Canis lupus familiaris: one gene and its partners. The protein of the gene in region 3 interacts with the protein of the main gene of each other region in a pairwise test. Links are inferred from orthologs where the notes say so. Each region holds a gene or a part of one and is shown on either strand. Other genes may lie near its edges.

Evidence for each region.
Region 1: the proteins of MAGED1 (region 3) and RBFOX2 interact in binary tests that used the Homo sapiens proteins (3 or more experiments, as listed by UniProt). The two-hybrid records come from large-scale screens. The link is inferred for Canis lupus familiaris from reciprocal best matches to the Homo sapiens genes MAGED1 and RBFOX2.
Region 2: the proteins of MAGED1 (region 3) and PITX1 interact in binary tests that used the Homo sapiens proteins (3 or more experiments, as listed by UniProt). The link is inferred for Canis lupus familiaris from reciprocal best matches to the Homo sapiens genes MAGED1 and PITX1.
Region 4: the proteins of MAGED1 (region 3) and SMAP2 interact in binary tests that used the Homo sapiens proteins (3 or more experiments, as listed by UniProt). The two-hybrid records come from large-scale screens. The link is inferred for Canis lupus familiaris from reciprocal best matches to the Homo sapiens genes MAGED1 and SMAP2.
Region 5: the proteins of MAGED1 (region 3) and KPNA2 interact in binary tests that used the Homo sapiens proteins (3 or more experiments, as listed by UniProt). The two-hybrid records come from large-scale screens. The link is inferred for Canis lupus familiaris from reciprocal best matches to the Homo sapiens genes MAGED1 and KPNA2.
Region 6: the proteins of MAGED1 (region 3) and CA8 interact in binary tests that used the Homo sapiens proteins (3 or more experiments, as listed by UniProt). The two-hybrid records come from large-scale screens. The link is inferred for Canis lupus familiaris from reciprocal best matches to the Homo sapiens genes MAGED1 and CA8.
Region 7: the proteins of MAGED1 (region 3) and BHLHE40 interact in binary tests that used the Homo sapiens proteins (3 or more experiments, as listed by UniProt). The two-hybrid records come from large-scale screens. The link is inferred for Canis lupus familiaris from reciprocal best matches to the Homo sapiens genes MAGED1 and BHLHE40.

What each region holds. Positions count from the first base shown.
Region 1 is NC_049231.1:29,471,855-29,476,077, reverse strand, and holds part of RBFOX2 (RNA binding protein fox-1 homolog 2), read right to left. Parts: intron 1,582-4,223; coding exon 1,528-1,581; intron 1,409-1,527; coding exon 1,316-1,408; intron 229-1,315; coding exon 84-228; intron 1-83. UniProt on the Homo sapiens protein: RNA-binding protein that regulates alternative splicing events by binding to 5'-UGCAUGU-3' elements. Prevents binding of U2AF2 to the 3'-splice site.
Region 2 is NC_049232.1:23,086,441-23,091,299, reverse strand, and holds the start of PITX1 (pituitary homeobox 1), read left to right. Parts: upstream 1-1,706; 5' UTR 1,707-1,798; coding exon 1,799-1,964; intron 1,965-4,200; coding exon 4,201-4,433; intron 4,434-4,859. UniProt on the Homo sapiens protein: Sequence-specific transcription factor that binds gene promoters and activates their transcription. May play a role in the development of anterior structures, and in particular, the brain and facies and in specifying the identity or structure of hindlimb.
Region 3 is NC_049260.1:44,812,012-44,815,207, reverse strand, and holds the end of MAGED1 (melanoma-associated antigen D1), read right to left. Parts: intron 3,179-3,196; coding exon 3,136-3,178; intron 2,873-3,135; coding exon 2,810-2,872; intron 2,021-2,809; coding exon 1,906-2,020; intron 1,659-1,905; coding exon 1,281-1,658; 3' UTR 1,273-1,280; intron 1,068-1,272; 3' UTR 858-1,067; downstream 1-857. UniProt on the Homo sapiens protein: Involved in the apoptotic response after nerve growth factor (NGF) binding in neuronal cells. Inhibits cell cycle progression, and facilitates NGFR-mediated apoptosis. May act as a regulator of the function of DLX family members.
Region 4 is NC_049236.1:2,651,413-2,655,635, forward strand, and holds part of SMAP2 (stromal membrane-associated protein 2), read right to left. Parts: intron 3,042-4,223; coding exon 2,956-3,041; intron 1,973-2,955; coding exon 1,894-1,972; intron 1-1,893.
Region 5 is NC_049230.1:14,375,622-14,379,721, reverse strand, and holds the end of KPNA2 (importin subunit alpha-1), read right to left. Parts: coding exon 4,000-4,100; intron 2,404-3,999; coding exon 2,254-2,403; intron 1,409-2,253; coding exon 1,316-1,408; 3' UTR 1,062-1,315; downstream 1-1,061.
Region 6 is NC_049250.1:11,250,673-11,255,607, forward strand, and holds the start of CA8 (carbonic anhydrase-related protein), read right to left. Parts: upstream 3,273-4,935; 5' UTR 3,220-3,272; coding exon 3,120-3,219; intron 2,165-3,119; coding exon 1,973-2,164; intron 1-1,972. UniProt on the Homo sapiens protein: Does not have a carbonic anhydrase catalytic activity.
Region 7 is NC_049241.1:12,717,172-12,721,042, reverse strand, and holds the end of BHLHE40 (class E basic helix-loop-helix protein 40), read left to right. Parts: intron 1-593; coding exon 594-1,450; 3' UTR 1,451-2,943; downstream 2,944-3,871. UniProt on the Homo sapiens protein: Transcriptional repressor involved in the regulation of the circadian rhythm by negatively regulating the activity of the clock genes and clock-controlled genes.

The DNA of each region.
Region 1 (4,223 bases), on a different chromosome or scaffold from region 3:
TGGCACGGCAACGTCCCAGAAGTTGTGACAGGGCCATGGTATTCTTTTCTGTCCAGCTGCTTATTTTGGAATCTAGTGCTTACCCTGGATAGGCGGGAATGGCTGTTGGAGGTACCGCTCGGACTGCACCATATACCGTCCGCCCTCTGCCCCTCAGATGGGCTCCTCTGAAAGCGGCTGCCGTGGTGGCTGCAGTCGGGTAAGGGAAGCCAGGAACTAAAGGGAGACCCAAAATATGACAGGAATGTCAACTTGAATTCAATAGCAGGGGTACAATCACAACTTGCTTTGAACCAATTCCAGGAAAGGTTGGAAGAGATTATCACATCTTTTCTGAGAAAGAAACTGAGAGACCCAATATGCAAAAACTAATGATGCATGCTCCGTTCATCATCCAATCTTGAGTGAGTTTACTCTGCTCCTTCACAATTCTGGCCTTTACAATGCAAGCTGGTGAGAAAGAGGTCAAGAAGCTCTGAGGACTACTGCCGTAGTAAGAGACAAGACTTTTAATTTCTGCAGGCAGTTTAAATTGTTGATATTAATTCTTTAACTGGCCAATTATTAATCTTATTTTCACATGTTGTTATGTGCACTTAATAATTATTCTTCATAAGAGCAGTCTTTTGTGTTTGTATGTGGTGCTAACCTCCAAGGCATACAATAATCTTTAGATATTTCATTAGTCCATTTTATTCTTTTATCTAAAATGTTTTAATCCAGAAATGTTAGGGGAGAGGAAAACGACTTCTCCCTTGTAATCCTGTGGCCTTCAGAGAGGCAGAAAGTTTCTAAAGGTCTATTTTAAATGTGCTATCCTCTGGAAAGCACACAGAGACATTTATTCCATGTTCACTGAACTCTTTTTAATTATACCTTGCTAGAGCAAAATGGCTCAGGTCAGAATGACTTCAGAGGTATCAACAGAGGGAGAATAATCATTAATGCTGGAGGTGCTTCTAAATGATACTCTACTAAAAAGCCCAAAGCTGACCTGCAGAGAACATGCATATTATATTCCACAAGTATCTATTTCTTTGGTTTTAAAATCAAGTGCAGACTAAAATGTTCTACACATGTCCTCAATCCCCTTGACCTTTTCCAACTATTTATGCTTCGTGGCAATCTCAGTATCTGGTCAGAAAGATTCTTACACAGGTTAAGCAGGATGGGACACTGTGACAGCATTTAACTCTCTTGAGAAGGCCTCCTCCTCAGTTATATATTATACTTGGGGAAGAAGAAAAAGACTAGGACACATCACTGTTTACTCACAACAGTCAAAATCCATGCCAGGCCAACATAGGCTACTTACTGATTAAAGGAATGTAAGTGTTAATACCCCCTCTTCCTGATAGGGGCACTGCTGCATCATTGCCTAGGGACACGTCTGCTTGAAAGCTGGATGCTGATTGCATTTAAAAAAATTAAAAAAAATGCAAAAAGATTACAAAGGAATAGTAGATCGAAAACCAACAGATGTTGTCATGGTCAATAGGCCAAATGGAAAAATTAATGAAATACTACCTGCATATAACTCAGGGCCATATACAGCTCCAACTACGGGGCTTAATTTCCAACCTGCAATGGAAGAGAGGACAGAGAGCATTTAAGACTCCATGAGGAAAAGGTGTGATGAGGGCATGTGAAAGCTGGCTCCAGACATCCCTGCATTTAAGCTCCACCCAACACTATCTTCTCTGTAGACGCCAGCTGATGGGTCACTTCCACACCTGAGCATCTTTAAGCAGAACAAGCACAGTGAAGGGATAATAAGGGGGGGTGGGTGTTGCAGGTATAGGGGCAAATGGGGAGGAGAAAAACTGGGTGGGAGGAAAGAGAAGGACAAAGAAATGTAAGAAATAAAAGTAAATCCTGGGCTCTGGTTTCGTCTCTTTCATAGAACTGCTTAGAACATATTCTTTGAAAAAAAAATTCTTTGTTTTTAGAAAAATGAGAAAGGCAGAATATATGTCATTGTACACCACACTGTGATGCACTTTCTTATTCATCATCTTCACACTGTTTACTACTCTCACTGCTTTATAAAGGTATATTCTGAATTTAAATTTGAGCTGATCTTTGACTCTGTTCAATTATACCATACTGATGGAAATCTAGGTAAGTGAAAATCCCCTTTCTTTGGGATTTACCAATGGAATTTCGGTGCAGTTATCCTCAGCCAAGTGAACAAGAAGAGACACTCAGTAATAAAATTCAAGGTACATCCCCAATTTCATGCATTTTTTGGGATTTTAAGTGGTAATAAACATACTTAATTAGTTGTTTTAGCTAAAGGATACTAGACTGCTGTTGAGTACCAACCTAAGCATTTATAAACTTTAAGTACTTGCAAACATTAGGTTTGGTGTCAACTTTATTTCTTCATCCCCCTTTTTCATATTTATAGAAATATAGCAGACGTTAAAAAGAGAAAAATGTACTACTGCCCATTGATAGTTAAGGAGTAGAATTTCTTTTTTTTTTTTAAAGATTTTATTTATTTATTCATGAAAGACACATAGAGAAAGGCAGAGACACAGGCAGAAGGAGAAGCAGGCTCCATGGAGGGAGCCTGACGCGGGACTTGATCCCAGCACTCGAGGATCATGCCCTGACCCAAAGGCAGGCGCTAAACCGCTGAGCCACTCAGGGATCCCCAAGGAGTAGAATTTCATATGAAAACTTTAATCAATAGACTTTTATTGAATTTTACACAAATAAGCAAACATACTCCATTATTTTTCTTAAAGACTGGAGACAGTATTCAAGAGAAAACTCATTCATCCTGAACCAATCTAACCCCCGTTCATTATTTTATGTGCTCATAGATGGTGAACACATGATTTTACATAAAAATTGGGCAAATACCTCAGTTCAAATGTTACTGGAGTTGTAAGAACACAAATGTTCTACAATGTCAGACAAATCAAGTGATTCCAACCAATGTAAACTAAATCGCTGAGACTTCACTAGAAGGCATCTAGCGCACTCTTTTCAGAAGCTTTAAACCACAAGCAGCTGTTGGTCTCTCAAGTTTGGCTTGGTTAGGCTTGAGTATTAATTTAGAATAATATTTTAAAAAATGACTTTTTTCTTCCTGCAAATGGCACCATTACTTAAGCATTCCCTTAAGTATATTACATATTTTAATAATGGTATGTAATGGTATGCTGTCAATAATACTTTGAGTACGTTTAGTTTTTTTTTTGTATGTTTGGTTTTGTACAAATTTACAATGTATTTTGACCTTCACAAAACCCAAGGGGAGAGGTAAGATAGGTACCACATCTGGGACAATGAATAAGTACTATACTTCTTTGGGCTTAATTTCCTAAATAATAAGCTAAGAGAGGGCTGGATTTTGATGACTTCTATAGAGGCTTCAGGTGCTAAAATTCTGTGATCACCAATTAAGAGAGATGAAAACAGAATCAGGTTAAAAAGATTGGTCCACTGACAGAGTAAAATGAGTCAAATCTAGAAGTAGAATTTCTGTCTTCTCAATTCTAGTCAGTGACTCTTTCTACCACAGCATTCTCCCTGGATCTAAAGGAAATGTAACTTTGCCTCTCCTTCCTATTTTGTTTACATGAGTTATTATCAAAATTGCAGAAACTTGTTTTTGTTATGGGCATTGAAAAAAAAAAAACAAGAGGTAAAGGGGGAGGCAGTGGTATCACAAGATAGACCATTGATAAATGGGTAGGCAAAATGTAAATTATGCTGATAAATGCAAATTATGCTGATTTGTACCATCTGTTTGAGAAGCTGGGCTAAATCTATCTATTGGAGACATCATGGAATATACTAAGATTCTTACACTTGATTTTAGGACATTACCAGCAAATACAATACTTATCTAAGCAGTAGATTCAAACTTTTATTTTTTTTTTTTATTATTTTTTTTTTTTAAGATTTATTTATTTATGATAGACATAGAGAGATAGAGAGAGAGAGAGGCAGACACAGGAGGAGGGAGAAGCAGGCTCCATGCCGGGAGCCTGACGCGGGATTCGATCCCGGACTCCAGGATCACGCCCTGGGCCAAAGGCAGGCGCCAAACCGCTGCGCCACCCAGGGATCCCAGATTCAAACTTTTAAAAAGCAGAAAATATCCCATTTGATTCTAGATAAAATTTCATGCAGAGCCCCAATATATATGACACAGGAGTTGCTGCAGGCCTCAAGACCCAACCCATGGGTTTCCTTTCCACCCTTCC
Region 2 (4,859 bases), on a different chromosome or scaffold from region 3:
TCCGGGTTACTGTCCTGCCCAGCGCTACTCCTATCTGGGGGAGTTGGTCAGCAATCGAGGGGCGGAGGGCAGCCTGGGGTCTAGCTGTGGCCAGAGGCACGGGTCAGGGTCGCACCCTACCACCCTAGCTGCCGTCTATTTATTCAAGACTCTGAGGTCTCGGGGCTGGTTAACAATTGTTCGGCAAAATCCTTCAACAAACTTCACTGTCATAGGAGGATTCCAGAAGGGGATCATTCTCAGAGGTGGGGAGGGGCCGGGCGGTGTCTGCCCCCAGGAGGCCTCGGCGGTGCTGCCGCTCAGCTACTGCTGTGTGAGAGAGAGAAGCTCAAAGGCGGTAGGCTTCCTGGACTGCGGACTCCGGGCTGGGAAACTGCAGGCACCTGGCCTGCTCGCGAGGCCAGGTGCCTGCAGCTCTGGAAAGCCCAGAGGAGGCCCCAGATCGCTACAAACCTGCCCTGAAGGGGGCAGAAGCCAACCCCCTGGCTGCCAAGGCCGGGGCCTGGCTGATTCGGCTGGACTGGTGCAAAACAAGGGAAGAGAGCCCTGCAGAAGAGGCTGTGGGGCCTGGCGGGGCTCTCGGGGTCTCCTGCTGCACTCGCCAGAGGCCTGGAGCCAACAGAAACGTTTCGTCTGATTAGAAGCCATCAGTTCAATCCCAATCCCGGAAAATTGACTGCGGTGCAGAGGGGGAGGCCAGAGAAGCAGCCTTGGACGACAGGGTCCAAGCTAATTAGGAGGCAGCATCCGGGGGCCCATTAGAACGCAGGCTGCTGTCACTCAGCCGGGCTCAGGTCCCGGGAGAAGAGGCCGAGGAAGGAGGGGCCAGCGGCCCCCCGACGGGGACGCCGCCGGGAGCTGCCGGAACGGGCCCCGGGCTCTGCCCCCGCCCTGGCGCTGGCTCGGAGGCGCCCGCTCCGTGCGATCCTGCCCCGGGAACATTCTCTCGTCCTGGGCTGTTCTCGCCGGGGGCTGAGGACTTCGAGGCGGCCCAGACAGGAGTTGATTCTGCGCAAAACAAGTCATCTGGGGCTGGAGGTGGGCACGAGCCGCGCGGGACTTGGAGACCAGATGCGTTTCTTTTGTGCGGCCGAGGGAGAAGTCGGTGTGTCAACGGGGAAGGAGGGAGCGGCGCGGCGCGGCGAGGCCGCGGGGGGTGGGGGGAGGGGGCGGGAGGCGGCGGGAAGGTGGCTGCGGCGGGGGAGGGGGACGGGAGGGGACGGGAGGGGGAGGGGGAGGGCACGGCCGGGGGAGGGCGGGCGGCTCGGGGCCGGATTCCGCCCGCGCTCCCTCGCTCGCCGGCTCCCTCCCTCCCTCCCTCCCTCCTTCCCTCCCTCCCTCCCCCCTCCCCAGCCCCCTCCCACCCGGGCCCACCCCACCCACCACCCCTGGCGCAGGGACTGCTGGAACCTGGCGGTGCGCGCTGTCGCTTTAAGACAGCCTCTGCCGGCGCCGTACGGAGCCTTAGAAACCGGCCCCGGATCGGGAGCCGGAGCCGGGGCCGGGCGGGCGGCAGAGGCCCGAGCGGCGGGAGCGCAGCGCGGAGCGCGAAGCCGGGGATCCGGTCGCGAGAAACCGCTGCCGCCGCCGCCCGCCCGGCCCCGCAGCCCCGGGCGGTCCATGGGGCGGGCGCGGCGTCGCTGCGGGCCCGGGCAGCCCTGGGGGGCAGCCGCTTAGGCGCTGTGCTCTTGTCCCCGCAGGTCGCAGCCAGGGCGGCCGGGCGCGCCCGGCCCCGGCCCCGGCCCCGGCCCCGGCCCCGGCCCCGGCCCCGGGAGCGCCCGCCGCGGTCCCCGCCTCCATGGACGCCTTCAAGGGGGGCATGAGCCTGGAGCGGCTGCCGGAGGGGCTCCGGCCGCCGCCGCCGCCGCACGACATGGGGCCGGCCTTCCACCTGGCCCGCGCCGCCGACCCCCGCGAGCCGCTCGAGAACTCCGCCAGCGAGTCGTCCGACACGGAGCTGCCAGGTAAGCGCGGCTCGGCCCGGCGCGGGGCGGGGAGCGGGGCCTGGCGCCCGCGCCGCACGCTCAGGTTGCCCGAGCCCCGCGAGCTCCGGGACCTCTTCTCCCGGCCTCCGTCGGACCGGGAGCGCGGAAATCTGCGCGCTTGATGAGACGGAATTCCGTGCTCTGCTCCCAGCCGGTGCCCACGCGCCCAGACCCCGGCAGATGCAGGCACCGACCACGGGAGGGTCGGCCCGACAGCCCCTCTTGATCGGGAGCAGACGGAGCCGGAAGAAAAAGAATTCGGTTTGCGCAACGAGTGCCCAGGGGGCCGCTCAGACCGCAGGACAGTAGGTGGAGAGAGGAACGGGGCGGCGGGCGAGAGACGCTGCGCAGGGAGACGGGGTCACACACCCCGACAGGCGGTGGGCACGGATGGAGAGGGAGAAATCCAAGAGAAGGGGTGGCGGGAAAAGTCAGAGAAACAGACTGCGGGGAAGGGGGGACCACCTCAAGTAAAAAAAAAGAGGGCAGCGAGGGCGAGCGGGCCAAGAGGTGCGGCTCAGCTGGCGGGCAGGCCCCCCTCGTGGAGGGACCCGGGAGCCGCCAGGCCGCCCGGCCAGGGCCCGGCTCGGCTGGGGCGCGTCTCCCTCCGCGCCGCCGTTTTGCCCCCCGAACTCAGGCTGCTCCCCCGCAAGCTGGCCGCGAGCGGGGCCGGCGGGTGGGCGGTGCGGGCGGTGGCGCGGCGGATCCTCGGCCGCTCGCGCCCCCGGGTCTCCCGCTCGGATCCCGCGCTCCCCGTCCCGCCGGGCGCCCTGTTCCCCGGGTCGTGGGCGCCTCCGCTGTGCTTTTTTCTTAATCCACCGCTGAGTGTTTCTCTACGCGTTTTTAATCTCTATTTGTTTCTGTTTTGCATCTCTAAGTGACTTTCTCTGAGAGGTTCTGTTTGCTTGGCTAAGAAAAGCAATCCACGCTGGACTGTACTTTTGTTTTCAAAAGTTTGAAGCGTGGCCTTTGGTTGGTTTTTACTTTTTAAAATCTGGAGAAATATACAGCGAGCGATTGCTTTTTAAAACCAACTCCGTGAGGATATATTAAATTTTTTAACTGTGTTTTTCGATATAGAAAGAATCACTACGCGAGGCATATTTCTCTGGAATTTAAAACATCCACATGCAGCATTATTCTTGGAGATTTTTAAAAGTCAATCCAAAATGGCGCGTTTCTCCGGGATTTTTTTTTTCAAAATCCATTTGCAGCAGTGTTAGTTTGGTAATTTATCTAACTATAGTGTTGTATTTCCCTGCGACTTAAAGACTATCCCTAGAAGGGCATTATTAGGAAGGGGCTAAAAAAAAATCTATCTACAACAGTACATTAAGTTGTTTTTTTTTTTATCCCGGAGAAATAAATGCCCGCGTCTGCCTGGAGTTTATACGCGTACAGCACTGTATTTAGTTAGGGGTCTGTTTGCACGGAGGTTTCTTGCTTCTTAATTTGCATTTGCTCTGTGTTCCTACCTGCCTATTTTTAATAGTTTGTGAGCCTTTCCATGGTGTTGGGATAGAATTGAGTTTATCTGGGCTTCTGTATTTTGTTTTTAATTTTTTTGTTTGTTTGTTTCAATGTGTCTATGACTGAATGTGTTTTGTGTACCCTGAGAGAGCGAGAGGCTAGAGCCCCAGGTCACCTAGACAGAGTGTGTGGGTCTGGGCTGCCGCCTGAGGGCTTTTCTGGGCCTCTGGACTTGAGGCCTGGAGCTAAGGCTGAGAACACAGCTGTGTTGTGCCTGCCCAATGTGGCTCCCACACAGCCCTGGGGAGAAGAAAGTAGAGGGGCTGCAGGTTACCGCCTGGCTCCTGCTCCACCGACCCACTGGCTTCAGGCTAGCCAGATTTGATATCAGTTCAGAAGAGCAGAGACACCCCCAGATTTAAATGCCTAAAAGCCCTCAAAATTTCATACATTTGCGGGCGACATAGGCAGTAGGGCTTGAGCCTGAGCCGAGCTGCAAGGGCAGGCCCTGCCCAGTGGGGAACCTAGGCCGGAGCCTCGGGTTCCCTGGCTCTTCGGGGCCGTCCGACCAAAGGTGACTAGTGAGGATCAGGCACCCGACAGGCTCTTTCCAGCGGGAACAAAACTAGGGTTCCTGGCGGGAGGAAGGGCCGCCAGCGCTGATGGCTGGCGCTTCGGTGGAGCCGGGACGGGGTGCGAAAGGGCATAAACCCAAGGTGACTAGGGCCTGTCCTGCCCGATTCAGAGAAGGAGCGCGGCGGGGAAGTCAAGGGGCCGGAGGACAGCGGTGCGGGAGGCGCAGGCTGCGGTGGCGCGGAGGACCCCGCCAAGAAAAAGAAGCAACGGCGGCAACGCACGCACTTCACAAGCCAGCAGTTGCAAGAGCTGGAGGCCACGTTCCAGAGGAACCGCTACCCCGACATGAGCATGCGGGAGGAGATCGCTGTGTGGACCAACCTCACGGAGCCGCGCGTGAGGGTGAGCCCAGCGTGCGCGCCCAAGGGGACCCGTGCGGACCGCTCCTGGCCGGCTCTGCCGCAGCCCTCCAAAAGCTTTAGACCGGCGCTCAGACTTTGTCTCCGTCCCACCACTCTCCACCGGAGAGGAGGATTCAGCTTTAGGCCCGGGTGTTCCGGGTGTTCCGGCGGCTCCTGCTGTGCCCTTTGGTGGTTAGAGCCTTCGGCGGCTGTCGCCTGGCCTATCCTAGTGACCCTCAGGCTCTACTGCAGCCTCACCCCAAGATCTGTGGCCCCATGGGAATTTCCCCTGCCCTGCAGGGCCCAGACCCCATGCGGATGTTAACACCCTAGACTGCACGGAGGATTCCCCGCCAAGGGGGCCCTCGGAGCTGCGGGCCGCCTTCCCCCAAAAACGAAAGGGAAAGGCAGGTCTTGCCTGGCAACC
Region 3 (3,196 bases):
GCTCAAGCCAGGTCCTTGTTCACAGTAACACTGAAAGGCAGTCTAGCTTTACATAAAACCATAAAACCTTGCCCGTCTTACTTTCTCAATTCTTATTCTCTAAGCGATAAAGATTCCTTTCTCCCTGCAGGAGGAGAGAAGAGGCCAATGTGAGGTTTCCTTCACTATCCATAAGAACTTGTCTCTGTGATGAGGCCCTGGTCCTGTTGTGGGGGGCAGGGCAGGGGGATTGTGAGGGCTTTCTAGAGGGACAAGTTCCTGGGTAGCATTTCCAGAGATGAAGGGGGCCCTATGAGCCCATCTCTTTATGGGCAATGTGACTAGGAGTATGAGATCTTCCTTTTCACACAGGAGACTCCAGCACCTGGATCACAGTGTTCTCTGTTCCTCCTCTTGCCCCCATCCTGGAGTTGTTTCACTTTCCACATACAACCAACACCCTAGAATCTCAGGAGATGCATCACCAGAAACAGTTATCTTCACTCCCCTTCAACCACCCACTCTCTGGACTTTGTCATTAACTGGGGTTCCACCTCCTCTGCCTTCTTAAATTCAACTGTCTGACCACCTACACCCTGTCTCTCATCTCTTTAAGCATCATCACTCCAGGACTCCTAGCAGCCTATCACATGAGTTCCTGAGGTAATATTTCTAAGGTAAACTATACTGGTTCTTGGACCTCATTAACACTTGTGTTCATTACTTCCTCCTTTGTTTTCCAATCCATTAACGGAATCTACCCATATTTTTACCAATTGAAAGCTAATCTGCCCCTCAGGCTAGAAGTGAGGCGCTCTCTTTCCCATATAAACAAGTCAATCTCTCCCCAATGTGTTAAAAACAGAGAGCACACGTAATTCACTTTGCAGTTTCAACGTTTATTTCTGATACCAAAACTTGACAGCACACAAGGGGAAAAAAAGCAACAGACAAGGAACAGCAAATAAATTTATCTTGCATGCCACTTTCAGTCAACAGGATGTGGCTCTCTAGATAGCTGTGTTTAGAAGGAATCTGAGGCTTCAGCCTCACTCAGGGGAAAGACTATTGCAACTGATTAGCAATATCTGTGAACATAAGAAAGAAAAAAACCCAAATAATCAGTGATATATATCAAATAGTAAGAAATATACCAAGTATATGCTTCCCTATACTTCCCTCACCTCCCCACCATGGGTTTTCTAGGACTCCCAGGTTGTGACATAAACACATTCCCATGGACCCTGTATCTCCCGATAACCCTAACTGCCCAAACCAAAGTGATATACCTACCCAACATCTCACTCAACCCAGAAGAAACCAATGGCACCAAAGTTGGCAGCAAAGTTGGTGCTGGCTGTACCACCAGGGCCAATAATGGGGCCAGTGAAGGTCTGAGGAAATCGGGAGCGGGCATTCTGGTGGTATCTGGCCCAGAAGGTAAATGGGATTCTAGACCAGGGATCGCCAAAATCTCCTTCCTCATCCCAGGTCAGCAGCTCAAATTCAATGTCATCCCAGCTCCAGGGCCCAGATACGGCCTCATCTCCAATCCCCATGCGGGTTCTCGCCTCAGCCCGGGCCTCAGCCTCAGCTGCAGCAGCATCCAGAGCATCCAAGGCCTCATCTGCAGCCTCCATGAACTGTGCAGTCCAGTCACGAGGATCTCTTTTCTGAACCTGAGATGAAGAACAGAAAATAGAAAATAAAACAAAACCCGTAATAATGGGAGTTAATATTTATGAAGCACTTGCTATATATTTAGTGCCCTACTTTGTGCTACTATTTACGTAACAGCAACAATCAATACCACCAGTAATGCAGTACCACGTGCAGTATCTAAGGTCTTATCCCTGCTCTGGACCCTTTCCAGCCAGCCACACCTCATCTTTTGACCTATCAAGTCTGGAGCAGTTCCTCTATTACCTCTGCAATGAATCTCAGCACTTTCATCTTGCTAGTTTCATGGTAGGAACGGAGGCCCCAGAGGAACTCATACTCAGGAGGGTTGCTGTTGGGCACTCGTCTGTAATCCAGGTACCTTAGAGCAGAAAGGTCTTTGTTTCTACCCAAGAAAGAACAGTAGTCCAACAATACATAATACTCTATTTTGATACCCCCAATTTCAGGTAGCAATCCCACCCAGATAGTAGTCCAACAATGCATAATACTCTATTTTGATACCCCCAATTTCAGGTAGCAATCCCACCCAGACTCATTCTTAAACCTAGCTTAATTATATTCTTTTTTAAATTTATTTTTTTAAAGTAGGCTCCATACTTGAGGCTTGAACTCACGACCCTGAGATCAAGACCTGAGCTGAGATCGAATCAGACACTTAACCAACTGAGTCACCCAGCTGCCCCATAAACCTAGCTTAATTATATTCTAATAGTCAGGCCTTCAAATTCCTGTACCAGTGCTTCTACATTAAGCAGTCACCTAAAACTGCAGGGTGGCTTATATAGGGTCATAGAAAGGGCAACACTTAATCTCTCCCCTTGTGTCACAGCTCTAGCTCCATGTTCTTGTAATCTTGTTATTGAGCCACAGTTGGCCCATTGCAATGATTACTATGCAATGTAAACCTCAGCCTTGGAAATGTCTACTGTGGGTATAGTGGACAGACTTCACCTGCAAGATAACTATAATACTGCAGAAAAATCCAACCACAAGCAGGGATACTCAATAAACACTTCCAAGTATGTATGTGTTTTTCTATGGGGATATATAGGTATAGTGTAAGAAATGAGCATAGTAAGGACTGTCTGAGGCTGACTAGCACACAGAACTCATGAAGACCAGAAAAAAACCCTTAGACATCACTTACTTTTGTTTTACAAACTCATAAGTGAGAAGTTTCCTCAGATCTCCAAGAAGAGGATGTCTCACACTGATAGTATAAAAAAAAGAAACCCATAATCAAAGACTATGACATTGCCCAAAGAAAAGAAAAGAGCTTTCTAGTGGAGATCAGAGATGAGAGGAGAGGCATAGAGTTCAGAACTATTTGCCCATCCACCCAGGTCACATCCTTGGGCTCTGGTACCTCCCCAGACCAATTCCCTATACCACCAGGCTGATGCAATCCTGGGACCATCCTCTGTTGCCAAAGGATGATATGAACAGGCAAGAGATGAGAGAGCCCAATCATACCCAGGACGCAGTCCCATCTTGCGTAGTGCCTCCCAGAGGACAGCTGCAGTGGGAGGCAAGG
Region 4 (4,223 bases), on a different chromosome or scaffold from region 3:
TGGCTCAGCGGTTCAGCACCTGCCTTCAGCCCAGGGCCTGATCCTGGAGACCCATGATCAAGTCCCGCATCAGGCTCCCTGCATGGAGCCTGCTTCTCCCTCTGCCTCTGCTTCTGCCTCTGTCTCTCTCTCTCTCTCTCATGAATAAATAAAAAAATTAAAGTGATGAATGCTACATAAGTAACATAAAAATACAGGATATGCTAAATTGAATGAAAATAATAGTTATAACTATATAATTATGCCTCCTAAAAGTAACTACAAAAAAGAGGGAATACACCAAAGTGATAATCACTGGTAAAGATTATAAAGGTAGACATGGATTTTCCACTTTATTTCTTGAAGTTAAAAATGCTTTACTGTCCATTTAAAAATAATACTCTAATTAACAGAGCCACTTTTTTTCAATTTGATATTAACTGTCTTCACTTAGCAAATATTAATTCTTGGCATATAAATCTTCACAAGAATATTTTTAGAAACTAAGTACACTAAATAAAAAATTCTTGGAAAAGCTTTTTGGTAAACAGGAGCTATTTCTTTCCTAAGTGAAAATATGCAGTGAGTAGAACAGGCTGTTTACATGGGTACAGTACACCTGCAACATAATTATGAATGGACACTATCTTCATTTGGCAACTCCTTCCTCCTCCCTCATCTTTTGGATTATCTCAGATACTCTTTTCTGACCTCGTTGTGATTTCATATCTTTTGGTACAATGAACAAAAGCTAAGCAAACAGATCACAGTTTTCTACAAAGCAAAGGAAATGTGTGTGCTTTGGTTCCAAACTTTTCTGATGATGCCATCCAAGCTGTGGCTGTACACTGGGTTGATTATTTCACAGAACAGTTATGACAAATTCCACGTCCCTTTTCTGGATGACTATGAAGTAAGAGTCCTTCACACTAAGTTGGGAAGGAATTATCTTTACCTAACTAAATGTACTACCTTGCACCTACTTGCCTACATTGAAACTCACCTACCAGTTGATGCCCCTTTTCACAGCCTAAAGATCAATCTGGAGCAGATTCCAATTAGTTTGACTTTAAGTTACCTGGAAGGACTTAGAGGCCTGTATATCCTCTGTTAAAATACAAAACAAGATAGATGATTGATAGATAAATAGGTAGTAGGTAGGTAGGTAGATAAGACTTGCTAGAACTGGATAATCCTATACTCTCTGTACTTTTAAAGCTAAAGAAATAGTCAATTATTCCTAAGCAAATTTACTGTAGAATCTTACTAAAGGCTTTCTTAGGTCGTCATATTGGCAACTCTTTAGTTGTCATTAGCCAGGCACCTTTTCTTCTTCCAGGAATAATTTGTATTTCCTCCTGTATATTATACTTGTCCTAGTTACCAGACTCTGTATTTCAGATTCTAACCACATGCCTAAGATGGAAAGTGGTAGTCCCCTTTTAAAACCCTTCTCAGGAATAGGGTCCCATTGGCAATTAGTCCATCAACACACTGGAAATATATGCTGGTCAAACTGAAGAAAACTCTGATGATTTAGTTAATTTTGTAGACTTCATTTACAGATAAAAATACATATATACACACACATTTATACACATACATACACACATATTACTGTTTGATCTAGTATGGCCAACGTGTCCATTTGAAGAAATAATCTGGAACTGGGAATCACTAAACCTAAATACAAACCAAGGCAAAGAACTCACTGATGGTTTTCCCTCTCCATCCCTGACATGAAAGTCTGTTCCATGATATCTTGTAGTCTTGATTCAGTAACTGGCTTTCTTTCTACTTTTTTTTTTTTTTAATGTTTTTGGAGTATTTTGGTAGCACTTCTCAAATTCTTCCCTGGCCTGATGTAAAGCAAATTACTCATTTTGAGCAAAGCTTGAAAGATTTATAACCAACCCTAAAGGCATTGATGTCCAAACTTCGGTCCATGTATTTCTTCTTCTCATATTTATCCCGAATAAATCCCTCGACAGCTCTGGAAAAAGCTTATTAAGGGTAAATCAAACAAATCTTTCCCACAGTATGACTATCACAGGTCGATCTGTATTCAATGGAATGTTGTTCTCTCTCTCCCTCCTGGCTGGTTTCTCCATATGGCTCCTGTATTTCTTCACATGCAGTTCCCTGACCAAAACTTTAAAATGCCTCCTTCATGGTTACTGCAGGGAATCACTACTTCCTATGAGTTTCCTTCAGGATAATCACAGCAGCAAATGGGATTAGTCTTCATAATGACATAAGAGGAACCTGTGGCTCTTCTAGAATACAGGTAAAGCAGGAAATTATCTATTTTAAAGTCTTTAGGTCAACAGGCCTTAAATAAATGCACTTGAGTACCCCTTAAAACTATAAACCCTTGTGCCCCGCTACCAGATTCTGATTGGTGTGTCTTCTGCAGGGTCCCAAATCTGCATTTTAACAGGTTCCACCTGCACCCAACAAAAAAGCAAACTCTAACAAGACAGTCTATAAACCACATTTAGAGAAGCACTGCCTTTAGGAGGTTTGGTTTTGTGAGTAGGGCGCTATCCCCTGTTGAAAGGATGAGGGAAGAAAGTTACTAACTAGTCAATAATAGTTCATTCTTTCACACAGAACATAGAAAAGGCATTAAAAAGTGAATGGTAGTTTTGCTGATTCAATACAGCACAGTAATCTATTCTTTTAACACACAATAGTTTCAAAGATCCAAAAACTATCAGAGATGTCACTTTATGGGAGAATTCACAGTGAACCACTACAGTCTTAATTCCTGAGCGAGTCTTCCTCGTGTGACAGCACTATTCCGACATTAGAAAGTATACTTTTTGTATGTGTTGGTGGCAGGAAAGGGAAAAGCAAGACTTTGACTAAACCACATAGAGAGGGCCCAGGCAGATCAAGGGGCTTGAGTCTTGTGTGACTCTCCCAAAACACCAAAATACCACTCAGCCTTCTAACTTGCTCCAAAAAAGATACGGGTCTATTTGAGGTCGGCGAAAAGTCTCAGGAAGGTAGGCTTCATAAAGTCGGTTTGCCTTTCCATTCCCCATCTCTTGCATGCACTGCAATCAGAGAGATGTGGAAACATGGAACGTCAGGTGAGGAAAGACTTGAAAAGTTTCTCGCCCAACTGCAGCATTTTATAACTGAAGAACCAACCTGACAGTGGCAGAACCAAGATCTATGTGCATACTCTGATTTCTAGCCCACGATGGTCTCTATTACCAATCATTTGCCCTCATGGTTGTCCTTCCTGCCCCCTCCACCTTAGTTCTTTTTATTGAAAAATTTGTCTGACAGGATACATTTAATTCAGTAATAATTCAAGACCCCATTTCAAACCCCAAGACACATAACTACCAATTAAAATGTCTACTTGATAGGCAATAATCAGTACCTAATCAGGCAGGCAATAATTGAGCAATAACTACAATTTTGAGTTTATACTATTAATTAAACTATTCAGCTTTATTACCAATAAATGTGTTTCCCATTTGGCCTTTGAAATAGACTCCTTAACACTTGTGAGGGGCAAATCCCAAGGTTTTTAAAATTTTCAAATTCCCAAATACCTCCATGGCATGTAAATTCCTTCATAAGATAAAGTATAACTGAAAAATATAACTAATCTTTTAGACTTTTAGTGAATCTATAAAAGCAGCCTAATGTAATTTAATTTCTAAAGCCATTTTCTAGCTAAGAATAACCTCTTATTTCTATCACCAACTTTAGCAACTGTTTTCTTTGGACCCTTTCTCCCATCCCCACTTCTCAAAAAAGAAAAAAAAAGTTTTAATTACTTCTAAAAGTTTCTATGCAGGAAGAGAATAGAGAAAAATGAAGCCATGTAGAGGTGCAGATCTTAAGTCCGCTAGACTAACTTACGTGTCTTACTCCCAGCCCACCAACCTAACAGCATGCAAGATTCACATACACGTTTTAGCAATAAAATATTATGTCTGTAAGTTGGAGGATTTGTGTGTGACTATCTAAAACTACAAATGTTAGATCTGCAAATGCCAGGGGCCTTAGAAAATAATCCAAAGATCCCCTTTAGACATTGGGGGTATATTCACGGAGTCCTAGACCACAGACTTTGTGTTCTGAAGAAGGTAAAATATGGGTGGAATAAACTCATATCTTAAATAGAAAAAGGAAAAAAATTCTCTATTAAGGTATAAAAACCTGACATAAGTGTTTCACAACTAAATTTTTCCTTTATCTTCATCTTTGTGCCCAATTTG
Region 5 (4,100 bases), on a different chromosome or scaffold from region 3:
TGCCCACCCCCATCACGTCAGCTCTAGATCGTCTATGGCAAAACAACCAGGCAAAGCTGTCCAATATCAGCAGTGGAGGCTTGGCTCATTACTTTTCCATGAATCAAAGGAAAAAGACAGTAGTGCTTTTAAGGTGCATTTCATTTGTCCTTAGGACTAGTGGGGCTCCTTATTAACCCTCCCTTCTCCTTCCCCCAAGCCCATTTCCTATGCTGCTAATAGTAACTATTCCTTAGATTAGTGCCTTCCAACCTGGACTGTACAGGAAGAATGTATGGGGATTAAAATTAAAATATCAGATACTGGGACCCCACCCCTTACCAATTAAACAGAATTTGTGGGTAAACTTTCCAGGTGATGCCAACAGCTTTGAAACCATGTTCAGCCTTGAAGTTTGGGAGGAATGAATTCTACTTGTAGCTTGAGACTTCTAATTTTATATATATAAATAAATAAATATATATATACACATGTGTATATATATTAAATTTTATGTACATGTATATATTACACACACGTATATATAAACATCCTAATTATGATTAATATGCATACATATACACACATACATATATGTGTAGAATATGTGTATGTATATATGTATATATATATATTTTTTTTATTTTATTTATTCATGAGAGACACAGGCAGAGGGAGAAGCAGGCTCCATGCAAGGAGCCTCACTCCCTGGCCTCACTCTCACTCCCTGGCCAGTGAGATTTAAAGGAGATATTGGCTGAAGCCTTCTGGGAAATTCTGTTCATTTTCTTATGCAAACTTCTGAAAAATTCTATTCTGGCTGGAGTATAGTGGATATGAAGCTGCAAGTGCCAACAGCCATTACTGACAAAGAATGGAAGCAGCCTAGAGCAAACCCAGAGCTCAGAAGTGGGCAGAAGAGTTATGACTCCTTTATCTTTGAGGACATCACAAACCTGATATCAAATGTCATCTGCCACCAGAATTACACCTCTGGTTGGTCACATTGGTTTGGTTCTGTCACCCTTCATCTGCAATCTTAAGAACTCCAAATTAGAAAGTAATGCATAGGAACGGTGAGGTAGAGAAAAGGGTGGAATTTAATCTTTATTTACAGGACACTGTAAGATAGAAGATTCCACATAGAAATAAGCAACCCACTGAGAGGAGGAGCTTCATACAGTTTGTACAGTTCAGAACTGGTCAAGTATAGTTTCGTTGTAAAAAGTGCTACAATAACAAAACACATTTAAAAAGAGTTCTTAGTAGAGAAACAGTAAGACAAACTTCTACCAAACAGTACACAACAAACAACTTTCTGTCTCAGCTGTACAATCTAAAAGTTAAAGGTCCCAGGAGTGCCATCCTGAACTTGGAATGTATAGCCTTCAGAGGTAGTTTCGGGCACAACATTCTGATCTTCCTCTTCCTGGAAGTATTAAAAAACAAAACCAAACAATATAATTTCACACACATAGCACATTTCTAGGAAGTAGCCTGCCTAGAAGTCTCTATTTACTCTTAAGGTCTTCATCTGCATATTATACTAATCAATGCCGTACCATATTTCAGTATTTGAAATAGTGGAGGGAAAGCTGCTGAAAACTTGCCAATTCAGGAGCGCCTGGGAGATGGAAGATTCCGAATGGACTAAGGAATGCTACCACAGCAGACTTTCTTCCCCACCTGTCACTTTTCCATAGGAAATGGGAAGATGGGGATCCCTGGGTGGCGCAGCGGTTTGGCGCCTGCCTTTGGCCCAGGGCGCGATCCTGGAGACCCGGGATCGAATCCCACGTCAGGCTCCCGGTGCATGGAGCCTGCTTCTCCCTCTGCCTGTGTCTCTGCCTCATTCTCTCTCTCTCTCTGTGACTATCACAAATAAATTAAAAAAAAATTAAAAAAAAAAAAAAAAAAAGGAAATGGGAAGATGGCCTATTAGCCCCAGAAGATGGCAGTGGGGTTGGCCCACTTTTCCATCATCTCCTATACAAACTTACTCTCAAGATACTCTAAAGTCCTTAAGACTGTTCATTCTAAAGAAAGAGGGGTAATTTTTAAAAAATTTTTTTTAATTTCTAAAGATTATATGATCATCAAGCCAAATATTTAAGAAGCAAAATATATATATACATTATGTCCTACTCACACTGATATTTTGCCATATTTAACAAGGTCACAGGGCTCATTTAAAAAGTATAAGGAAGAAAAAAATCTTATGGGCTTGACTTTGTGTATTTTCCAAATTCTTGTTAACTTTACCATGTTACTCACCTCTACAGAGAAATACTTCTCAATCAAGTTTAATGAAGCTTTGTACACAGACTCGTTTTCATGGTTTTGTAGAGCTTCAATTTTGTCCAAACCCCCACATTCTTCAATCATTATACTAAGTTTCTCAGTTTCACCTAGTTTCTCAGCAGCCTAAAAAAAATATCCAAGTTTAGTGGAATTTACTGAATGTTCTATTTTAATGAAAACCGTGAAAAAAAAAAAAAAAAAAAGGAAAACCGTGTTTATGTTTGGGTATTGATGGATCTCAGACAACCACTTTAAAGTTCCTTCAACAACCCTATGAGATGGTTTTATTTCCAGTTTACATTTTCAAAAAATTCAAGGTGATCAGATCTATACTTGTTCTTAACAACTACTTCTGTAGCTCTCAGCTAGATCTTACAGTAGGTCTCAAATCATTTCTATGAATCAAAATCACCTGGGCAACTTTAAAAATGTTATCATAACCAGGCAGCCCCGGTGGTGCAGCGGTTTAGCGCCGCCTGCAGCCTGGGGTGTGATCCTGGAAATCCGGGATAGAGACCCACATCAGGTTCCCTGCATGGAGCCTGCTTCTCCCTCTGCCTGTGTCCCAGCCATTCTCTCTCTCTCTCTCTCAATAAATAAATAAATTAAATTAATAAAAAATTAAAAAAAAAGAAAGTTTAAAAAAAAACAAAAATAAAAAAAAATAAAAATGTTACCATAACCAAGTTTGGTCTTTGATGGGAACAGAATATTACTGTTTTATAAAAGCACCTCAGGGGTGCCTGGGTAGCTCAAGCCAGTTAAGCATCTGACTCTTGGTTTCAGCTCAGGTCATGGTCTCAGGGGTTGTGGGACTGAGCTCCATTTTGGGCTCCACTCTCAGCATGGAGTCTGCTGAGATTCTCTCTCCCTCCCCCTTTGCCCCTGCCACACATGCTCAGGTTCATAAATGAATGAATAAATGAATGAATGAATGAATGAAAGAAAAAATCTTTTTTAAAAAGCACCTCTGATAACATCAAAGTGTAGTCAAGGTAGAGAACCATCGTCTAAGGACAAAGATGGCCTAAGGTGTATAAAAATAAACATCCCTGATTGGATTACTTACTGATAATCAAGAATTTATTAGGTATAAAAATGACATTGTGGTTTTAAAGTCTTCAAATTTTAGGATACATAAATTTTTACAGATTAAATAATTTATTTGCTTCAAAATAATTTAGAGGGTTTAGGTAAGAAGGAGTAGAAAAATAGGCCAAATGTTGACAATTTATTTATGCTGGGTGACAGATACACCAAGCATCATTATTCTAGACTCTTCTAGGTAGAATTTCCATAATCAGAAGTTTAAAGTCATTAGGTAGGACCTACCTATCCCCAACCACTGTGACAAAGTGTCATATGCTAGCATGCTCGGGTCAATTAGGAAGGGAATCAGAAAAAAAATAAAATGGATAACTAAGTCATCAAAATTTAATTTCACCATAATTCAGTAGGACATTGAAGAATTAAAGATTTCTGACAAAATAGATAGGAATGAATTGTGTCCACATATGGACTTGATTTAAATTCAGGTCATCCCCTTGTCATCTCCTTTAAATCTCTTATAATCCCTTGTCACGTCTTACCAAGAGTGTGGCCCACATAAGCAGCCTTTCTAATTCTGTGGCCTACTGAGCAAACTTAGCTGCCCTCCCGTGGGTTAAAATATCATCCATTACCATCAAGGCCAAGTTCAAATGCTACCTTATAACTTACCTGAAAGATGTTTGAAATGGCATCTAGAATAACCAGAATAATTTTGGTATCTTTTGCAGTTAAGAGGTTCATCAATGGTTCTATTATGCCACAATGAACGA
Region 6 (4,935 bases), on a different chromosome or scaffold from region 3:
CAGTCAACTATTTAAATTGTGTTTATATTCTATTTTGATAAAATTAACACTTGAATTAAATAAATGAAGGGCAGGATATTCAGGGCTTGCAGACTACTCCTTTGAGAAGCTTAAATATCCTAGGAAAATAAATGGTCCAGACACGGTATTTTTTGTTACTCATTTTTTAAGTTTGAGAAATACTGAAAAGGTGGAAACAACAAAGAAGAAATTATTCCAGCAGCATGAGGGAGACAGGACATCTAAAGGGGCAAGCTGTCTAAGGAGGCAGGAGTAAGGTGTCTGGAACATGTGTATCCAAGTTAGGCTGAGACAGACAAGAGACCTCTTCCCTACTGGTCAGGGGTGGAGGATAGAGGAGACTGCAAGGGAAAACCATATGATCAGAGAGTCGAGGCACTGCTAGATAGTCTGTTTTGGGGATGAGAGAGGGGGCCGAGGAAAATCATGAATGTTTGAGAAGGTACCAGAAGGAAATGTTAAATTCAAGTTGGTCGAGTTAATTGGATCCTAGTGCAGAGAGTATTTGTACTCAGTCATTCCTCCATGCTTCCATATTTCATAACATTTTCATAACATATTTACACTAGTATTTTAAAGGATTGTATTTTCACTAAACTATGACTCCTCAAGAATAGTCTTGTGCATTTGTATGCAACCAATACCCACTCACCATGGTGCCTGATGTGAAATGCATTTTTGTTTTATAGATACATAAATGTTTATTTCCAGAAATACAAAGGCATGTCAACACAACAGTACACATATATTACATCAATATGCTTTTTATAAGCCAAGACAGCCAATATTTAATAATTTAACTATATAGTTTAAAATAAAGCATAATGGTCCCTGACTGATAGCTCCCCCACAAAAAAAAAAAAAAAAAAAAAATCTTATTTGAGTTCAAATTTACAACTGAACGGGTCTCTCTCTCTCTTTGACTCCATAGAGTAACACCTAGAATCTGTTTTGGATGATGCTCATACTTTGACTAAACTCAGAACATCAGGGAAGACTACATGATTCTATGACTAGCTTCGTGGATTCTAAATTAAAGTTCAGGAACATTCACAATGAATTTTGTAAGAAAAATTCCATAGTTGGAAATCAATGACTACTCTGTTTCAAATAATAAACCTAAAGATTTTATGGTTTGAAATATCAAGTCATTGATTCAGAATTAATTTAAGCATAGGTGATCTCTGGTTCAATTAGTACTTTCTAGTATTTCAACATACTCTAATTTTATATTCTGTCCAAGAGAGAAATCCCACAATTCACTAAGTATAACATTAATTCTAATTTTTAAAAAATTCTTCTTTCTTCTCCTCTACATTTATGCCAATTTCCAACACCTTTTCCACAAAACATTTCAAATCCATCTCAAACAGGCTCAAAGGAGAGGAGAGCTAAAAATAAATAAATACTAATATGAGTTCTGTTGGCCATTTAAATCTTTAACCAAGTTTAGAGGAGATTTTTGATTGCTATTAGTTAAAATTCTTCTTGCCACGTTAATACAGTAAAGAAAATTAATTTGAGAAGTCTATCTGGAATGCCAGATTATGTCCGTAAATCCTGATCTTTAGTTTCACAAAGTAGTGAAACAGAACATTATCATTTTCTGAATGAATTAAACTAATCAACAGTTTAGGACAAAATACAGATTAGTACATTCGCATATACTTTTCCTCAAATCCCACAAAGTTTAAGTTGATCAACTAAGGTTGTTCCAGCAACATCATATAACACAGAACCACCAAACTACCACCGTCGTAATTTCATCCTTTTATCCTTTCAAAAATGTTTTAGAAATTAATTCCAAAAAATGCACCTTATAGTACATTAAGCTATCCTGATATTGGTACCATGTTTATTCTACCTTTAAAGTCATACAAGCCAAATCAATTCAACAGCTCCAGGAGGACTTCTAATTTACAAAGACATGCAAAAGCATCTTCTAATATACCTGATTTTGACTTCAGGATAACCTGAATGGTATGTCCATCGTTGGTGACTTCGCAGTCTCGGCACACCACATAATTTGGGGAAAGGCGGACATCCAGCAGTGAGGGGTCATATCTAGCTTCTCTTGAGTTTAAGTTAATGGGAGACTGGTATTCCCCATTAGCATCAGGAAACACCAAGCCCCACTCAACACCTAAGCACAAAATGAAGCAAATTTAGAACAGGTTTTAGAAAGTTCCAGTAAAGTTTAACATGTAGAAGCTAGTTTAGACACTGTTTATGATCCTTGACATTGTTAAAAGTTGTGACTATTGTCTGTTTATAGATGAAATGTGCCAAATGGGTATGAATTTCTGCATTCATATTTTCAGCGATCTAGTACCATATACAAAATCGTGTACTAACAAAATATTCCATTCGTATTTGTCCACGTGGACGTAATAATTTACGACCCTGGGAAATTTAGGTCATCTTTAAGGGCTCAAAAAAGAATTCATAGTTCCACAACAATTTCCTCTGCTCGTTCGTTCAACTACTGGGAAATAGCTGAAACTCTGAATTTGCTTGATAAGAGCCAAAAACCGTAAATCTGTGGCTAGTGCATAAACACCTCTTATCAGAGATGCAAATTTTGAAGCGGGTCTATGCATATGTACGCACACCGATATGTTCTTGAAGCGTGTACGTATATCCTCTTGCCATATTTTATGACTAAAGTCATAAATTCCACATTCGTGCCTGCAGCAGCACCAGGGGCCAAATCTCTCAGGAGTCCTACATCGCCCGGGGTAAATGGAGCCCAGAGAACTTTTTAAGAGTCACCCCCCTCGGGCCAACCCCACTGATGCAGCTTGCGATTCAGGACTCCTCTGGAAGCGGAGCGTCGCCAGCATCCTCGGCCCGGAGCCGCGGCCGCAGTCACCCCGGGCGCCCAAAGGTGCGGGCGAAACGCGACGCCGCCTCCGGGGCCCTCGGTGCGGGGCCGGCCCCGAGCTCGCGGCAAGGCCGGGCTCCCGGGGCGAACCGCCGCCTGCGATCCCCCACGGGCCGGGCGGGGCCGGGGGCGCACGTGGGGAGCAGGGGCGCGGCGGCGCACGGAGCGGGGGAGCCGCGGGGACCCCGCCACCCCGCCTGCCGCGGCCGGTTACCTTCCTCGTAGCCCCACTCCACCCCCTCCTCCTCCTCCTCTTCATCCTCCTCCTTCTCCGGGAAGGCGACGGAATCCTCGATGAAGCTCAGGTCAGCCATGGGCAGGCCGAGGGTCCCCGGGGCGCCCCCGCGGGGAAGCGTGCAGGGCTGGGGGTGCGCGCGGGCGGGGCGCGCCGAGCGGAGCCGCGGGACAGCGCGGGCGGGGCGGGGGGCCGGGGCCGGGGGGCTCGGGGCGGGGGCTCGGGGCGGGGGGCTCGGGGCGGGGGGCTCGGGGCGGGGGCGCGTCCCGACTCCCGGGGAGCGCGAGCCGAGCCGCGGCGCGGGCAGCGGCGGCCGCGGCTTATAAACCCGGCCGGGGCGTGTCTGGCGCGGGAGGACCCGCCCCTGCGCTCGGCGGCCCCCGCGCGGGGCTGCACCGGGGGGAGCGGCCCCGGGCTACCGGCTACCCCGGCCCGGGAGCGCCCCGCTGCCCGCTGCCCGCTGCCCGCTGCCCGCTCCCGGCTCACCTGCCCCGAGTCGCCCGCCGCCCGCCCCCAGGACCCCGGTGCGCGGGCCCTCGACCCGGGGCTTGCCACCTTATCTGCTTTCGGCTTTACTGCAGGAAATACAAAAAAAAAAAAAAAAAAAAGCCGACGGGCGAGTCCGCGGGGAGAGAGATTCATTGCCACGGGTAGGAGAAAAGAGAGGGCTGGAAGGACCCCGTAAGTTTTCCACTCTGGATTTTTATCACTGGCTACTTACTTTATAATTCGTCCTTAGAGGACAGTGGAAAGGAGCATGGAAAAATTTCCCAGAAACTTGTCCTTCCTAAAACATGTAAGACAAAATTGTTTTAGAGAAGTAGATACTATTTGGGTTTTGGCTTTTTGGATTTTTTTTTTCCGTAAAAAAAAATTTTGTTTTTTTTTTTACCTGAAAAGCAAGAGGAGTGGAAAGCAAAACAGAAAGGGCGTTTGGTTTTAGTTGCGGAGTCTGGGTGCTGCTGCAGGCACAGCTTGCTGTGTACACAGTTCCCAAAGGCCTAGTGAAATCGTGTAAATAATGAAATGCACACATTGCATAACAAACAGGAACTTTCCTGATCAAAGAGGTCGCATTGTTACCTCTTAAACATGTACCCAGTGACTTAATGCCTTCTGCCCCCTGTTTCAATGCGTTTTAAAAGCCCCAAGCTGAAAACCCCTGAGCAAGTTTACTCTGCATTTTTAGAAGGTGTATATATGTAATAAGCTCAGATTTGGACCTTAAGCGAAATTTGTTTTTATATGCTCCGTGCACGCACCAAAATGTCTGTTAGCAGTTCGAATAGCCAGTTCCTAAATCACACCATCTGTATGAATGCTTAAATCCTTATAGAAGGATGGAGATTCTCCTCCTGGGGATTTTTAGGTTCTGTGCTCCTAATCTTCACTGCCTGCTCAGCCCTCCACTTTTTAAAAAAGCCACCTAACAGGTTATTAGAAATTAGCCCAGAAAGAGAGTTGGGATTGAAGGGGGAGGGCGGGGGGCAGCTCAAATCACTCAATTCTGACACTTTCTGGAACATTCAGCAAAATAGATGAAAACTATTGGTCAGCTTTAGCTTTGAGGGTTCGAAGCATTCATTAAAAAAAAAATGTTTCCCCTTAAGATAGAGACTAGAAAGTCTACCATTATGAGGACTTGAGCCACAGTCTAAGGGAGATGAAATTCATTCTTCACTCACTGCCTTTTGGGTGTTGTTTAGTGGATACCCTCTCTCCTCTGCTCCCTAATAAGCCTGAGATTGACAGAAGGGTAAGTCTACCCTAAAGCTATCATTTTTAAAAGTAATAA
Region 7 (3,871 bases), on a different chromosome or scaffold from region 3:
AAGTGCTTCTGCCAGCTTTCTTATTGAAAATAGGAAGATGATCGTACTTGATGTCTTGGGGCGTATAGATAGGATACGTGGAAAAGGCTTAGAAAGAGCTTTGAAATTTAAAGATTCCAGCACAATTGCAACTTTTTAAATTGAAAATAAGCTAACGTAGGTGACATCATTCCTTTATTCTTTATCGCATTCTATGACTGGTCCTGTCCAATCTTGCTCTGGTAAGAGCATCCTCTAAACATATGAGGATGTTCACTGCTGAGTCGCTTATAATGAAAACTCAAGAATGAGCTATAAATTCAATGAGCGAAAATAGTCCATCTCTATTAATTATGTTCTGTTTCTATGATTGGGTTATTATGCAGCCATTATAGCTCATATTTGACCTGTAAGTGGTAAGATAGTGGATTATTTTTGTTCTATTATTTATACTTTTCAGTGTAATCCAAAATTTTCCCGATCGTATTACTTTTGGAGTTAGGAACACAAAGTCAGCAAGTGCTGTTAACCGAAAGGAAAGCTCCCGGGTGTAGGTATCCAGGTGAACCACGGGACCTTCTGAAATGTCTTCCTTTGGATCTGTGTTGATCCAGGTGAGCTGTCGGGGAGAAATGTTGAAGCAGGTCAAGAGATGTTCTGCTCAGGTTTCCAGACGTGTGCCCGGGAGGTGCTTCAGTACCTGGCCAAGCATGAGAACACTCGGGACCTGAAGTCTTCACAGCTAGTCACCCACCTTCACCGTGTGGTCTCAGAGCTGCTGCAGGGGGGGACCTCCAGGAAACCATCAGACCCGGCTCCCAAAGCCATGGACTTCAAGGAGAAACCCAGCTCCCTGGCCAAAGGCTCTGAAGGCCCCGGGAAAAACTGTGTGCCGGTCATCCAGCGGACTTTTGCTCACTCGAGTGGGGAGCAGAGTGGCAGTGACACGGACACAGACAGTGGCTACGGAGGAGAATCAGAGAAGGGTGACTTGCGTGGTGAGCAGCAGTACTTCAAAAGCGATCATGGACGCAGGTTCACCATGGGAGAAAGGATCGGTGTTATTAAGCAAGAATCTGAAGAACCCCCAACAAAAAAGAGCAGGATGCAGCTCTCAGATGATGAAGGCCACTTCACTGGCAGTGACCTGATCAGCTCCCCATTCCTGGGCCCACACCCACACCAGCCTCCCTTCTGTCTGCCCTTCTATCTCATCCCGCCGTCAGCGACTGCCTACTTGCCCATGCTGGAGAAGTGCTGGTATCCCACCTCCGTCCCAGTGTTATACCCGGGCCTCAACGCCTCCGCCGCAGCCCTCACCAGCTTCATGAACCCAGACAAGATCTCAGCCCCCTTGCTCATGCCTCAGAGACTCCCTTCTCCCTTGCCAGCCCATCCGGCCATCGACTCTTCTGCCCTGCTCCAAGCTTTGAAGCAGATCCCCCCTTTAAACTTAGAAACCAAAGACTAGGGGACCTTGCCGCACTGCTTTCCTTCCTCCCTACTTCCCCCTCCCCCCTCAAAAAAGAAAGTGTGACTGCAGCAAGATTGTTCTAGTGTGTATGCTGAGATAATCTGAGGCATGGAGAGAAGATTTTTGGGGTCCCTGTGTGCGTGTGTGTATCTGTGTGCGCGTGCGTGCGCCTGCGCTCGCGTGCATCGTGTGCTGGTATAGGACATTAAAGCTCCTTTTGGCGTAGGGAAGATATGAAGGATTGCCTGACATCAGGAGACTTAGGGGGGATTGTAGCAGATCTCTGGGCTTTCCCCCACCCGGAGAATAGCCCCCTCAGATACATCCAAATCAGCTGGATTTTCAAAAGCTTCAAAGTCTTGGTCTGTGAGTCAGTCTTCGTTTTGGGAGCCGGGTCTGTGGCTTTGAGAGAAAGGTACTTTCAAAAGAGGGCTTTCCAGAGCGCAGTTCCCAGCCAGCTCTAATGACCCCACCCTTCTCCCTTTATTGTTGCGGTGACTCACCGAAAGGGGAGAGGGCAGCCACACTGAGCTTTCTGCTAAGTGGTGAGGTAGCAGACACTGGCATAGCACGGTAGTGGTTTGGGGAGATTTCTGCAGGTCTGCTCCCCACCCGCTGCTGCCTTCTCCGGTGAATAAAGAGAATGTAGTTCCCTTCTCAGGCTTTCGTAGTGATTAGCTTAATAAGGAACTGAAAAGGGCCCCCTGGTCAAGCTGAGCTGCCAAGGAATGAGGGAGGAGGCCCCAGGGCCTCTGGTGCCTATTCCTAGGTCTCACCTAGAAAATGATCTTGCTGTCCCAGGAACCAGAGCAGGGTCTGCGAGATGCAGGTGCCTATGCTGCAGTCATCCCCAAAATGCATAAAGCCAAGTAACAAATTGCTACCTTCAACGAGCAGAGCTAGACTCAGTTTTCAGTTCTATCCTAAAACTCCTTTACCAAGCTTAGCTTAAAGGCCTAACCAGCTCTTGGCACAGCAAGATCCTTTCTGCAGGCTAATTCCCCTCGCCCGACGGCATAGGGAGTGTCCTTATTGCTAAAAAGGATTCTGTCTCCTTCAAAGAAGTTTTATTTTTGGTCCAGAGTACTTGTTTTCCGACTCATCCAGCTAGCCCTGCACCAGCTTTTTGAAATGCACTATGCTTGATCGCCGATCGTGTTTTAACTTTTTCTTTTCCTGTTTTTATTTTGGTATAAAGTCATTGCCTTTATTTGTAAAACTGTTATAAATATATATTATATAAATATATTAAAAAGGAAAATGTTTCAGATGTTTATTTGTATAATTACTTGATCTACAAAGTGAGAAAAATGAATGTATTCCTGTTTTTGAAGAGAAGAATAATTTTTTTCTCTAGGGAGAGGTACAGTGTTTATATTTTGGAGCCTTCCTGAAGGTGTGAAATTGTAAATATTTTTATCTATGAGTCAATGTTAAGTAGTTGTTTTAAAATACTTAATAAAATAATCCTTTTCCTGTGGAAGAGAAAAGATGGTCTTTTGCATTTTTTTAGAATGCCCCAGTTGTGTGATACGGCTGTCTTCTTCCCTCCCCTCTTGGCTGGAGGCAACAACTAGTTAATCTTGGCGTCATTTCATTCAGCTTTTTATGTGCCTTGTATTCAGACAGAATAAACTTGGTCAATTTCATGGTAAATATTTGTTTAAATTTTTTTTTTTTAACTAACGGTTGCTAAAGTTCATGGCCACCCTGCGCCTCCTTCCAGCATTAGGCAAAAAAAAGTACATTGTCCCTGTCCCCCCAACCCCAGCCTGCTTTTGTCATGATCCTTAGAGCTTGACAGAAAATCAAATTATAGAATCGTTGGGCCTTAGGATCTGGGGAGCTTGCTGGAGGGGTAGGCACATGGAGAAAAGATTTAATGGATTATTATGCAATAATAATTGGTGCTGGGGATAGCATCCTCTGCCAAGCCAGTCTAACTTTTTTGAGTCTAGCAAAGTCTAATGGATTTGCCATATCCTGTCTTATTGCTGCTGAAGGCAACATTCCATAATTATTTTCTACATCCTTCCTGGACTTCCTCTCGTTGGGTGTGTTTGTGCGTGAATGAATATTGGTGTTCCTTAGTCAAGTGCTCTTATGAAGAAAAAAAATTTCCATGGGAAAAGAAGTGGGAAATGACCGGGTCGAGTATTTTTGCCTCTCCCCTTCTCCCCATCAGGGATGTCCCTGCTGGCCAGTGCCTGGCTTGCCATGCTTCAGATCCCCAAGTATCTGAGTCCTCTGGGAACCCTCTGGATGTCTGCAGCCTGAGCAGGGAACCTGCCCCCAGGGAGTTCCCAGCCAGGCAAAGGCACCACCTGCCCCTCATGACTTTGCTTCAGATGTCGCCTTCACTGTCTCCTGACCAGCCAGCCAGCAGGTGAGAGCGAGCATTGCCTGGCTGTGTGAGAT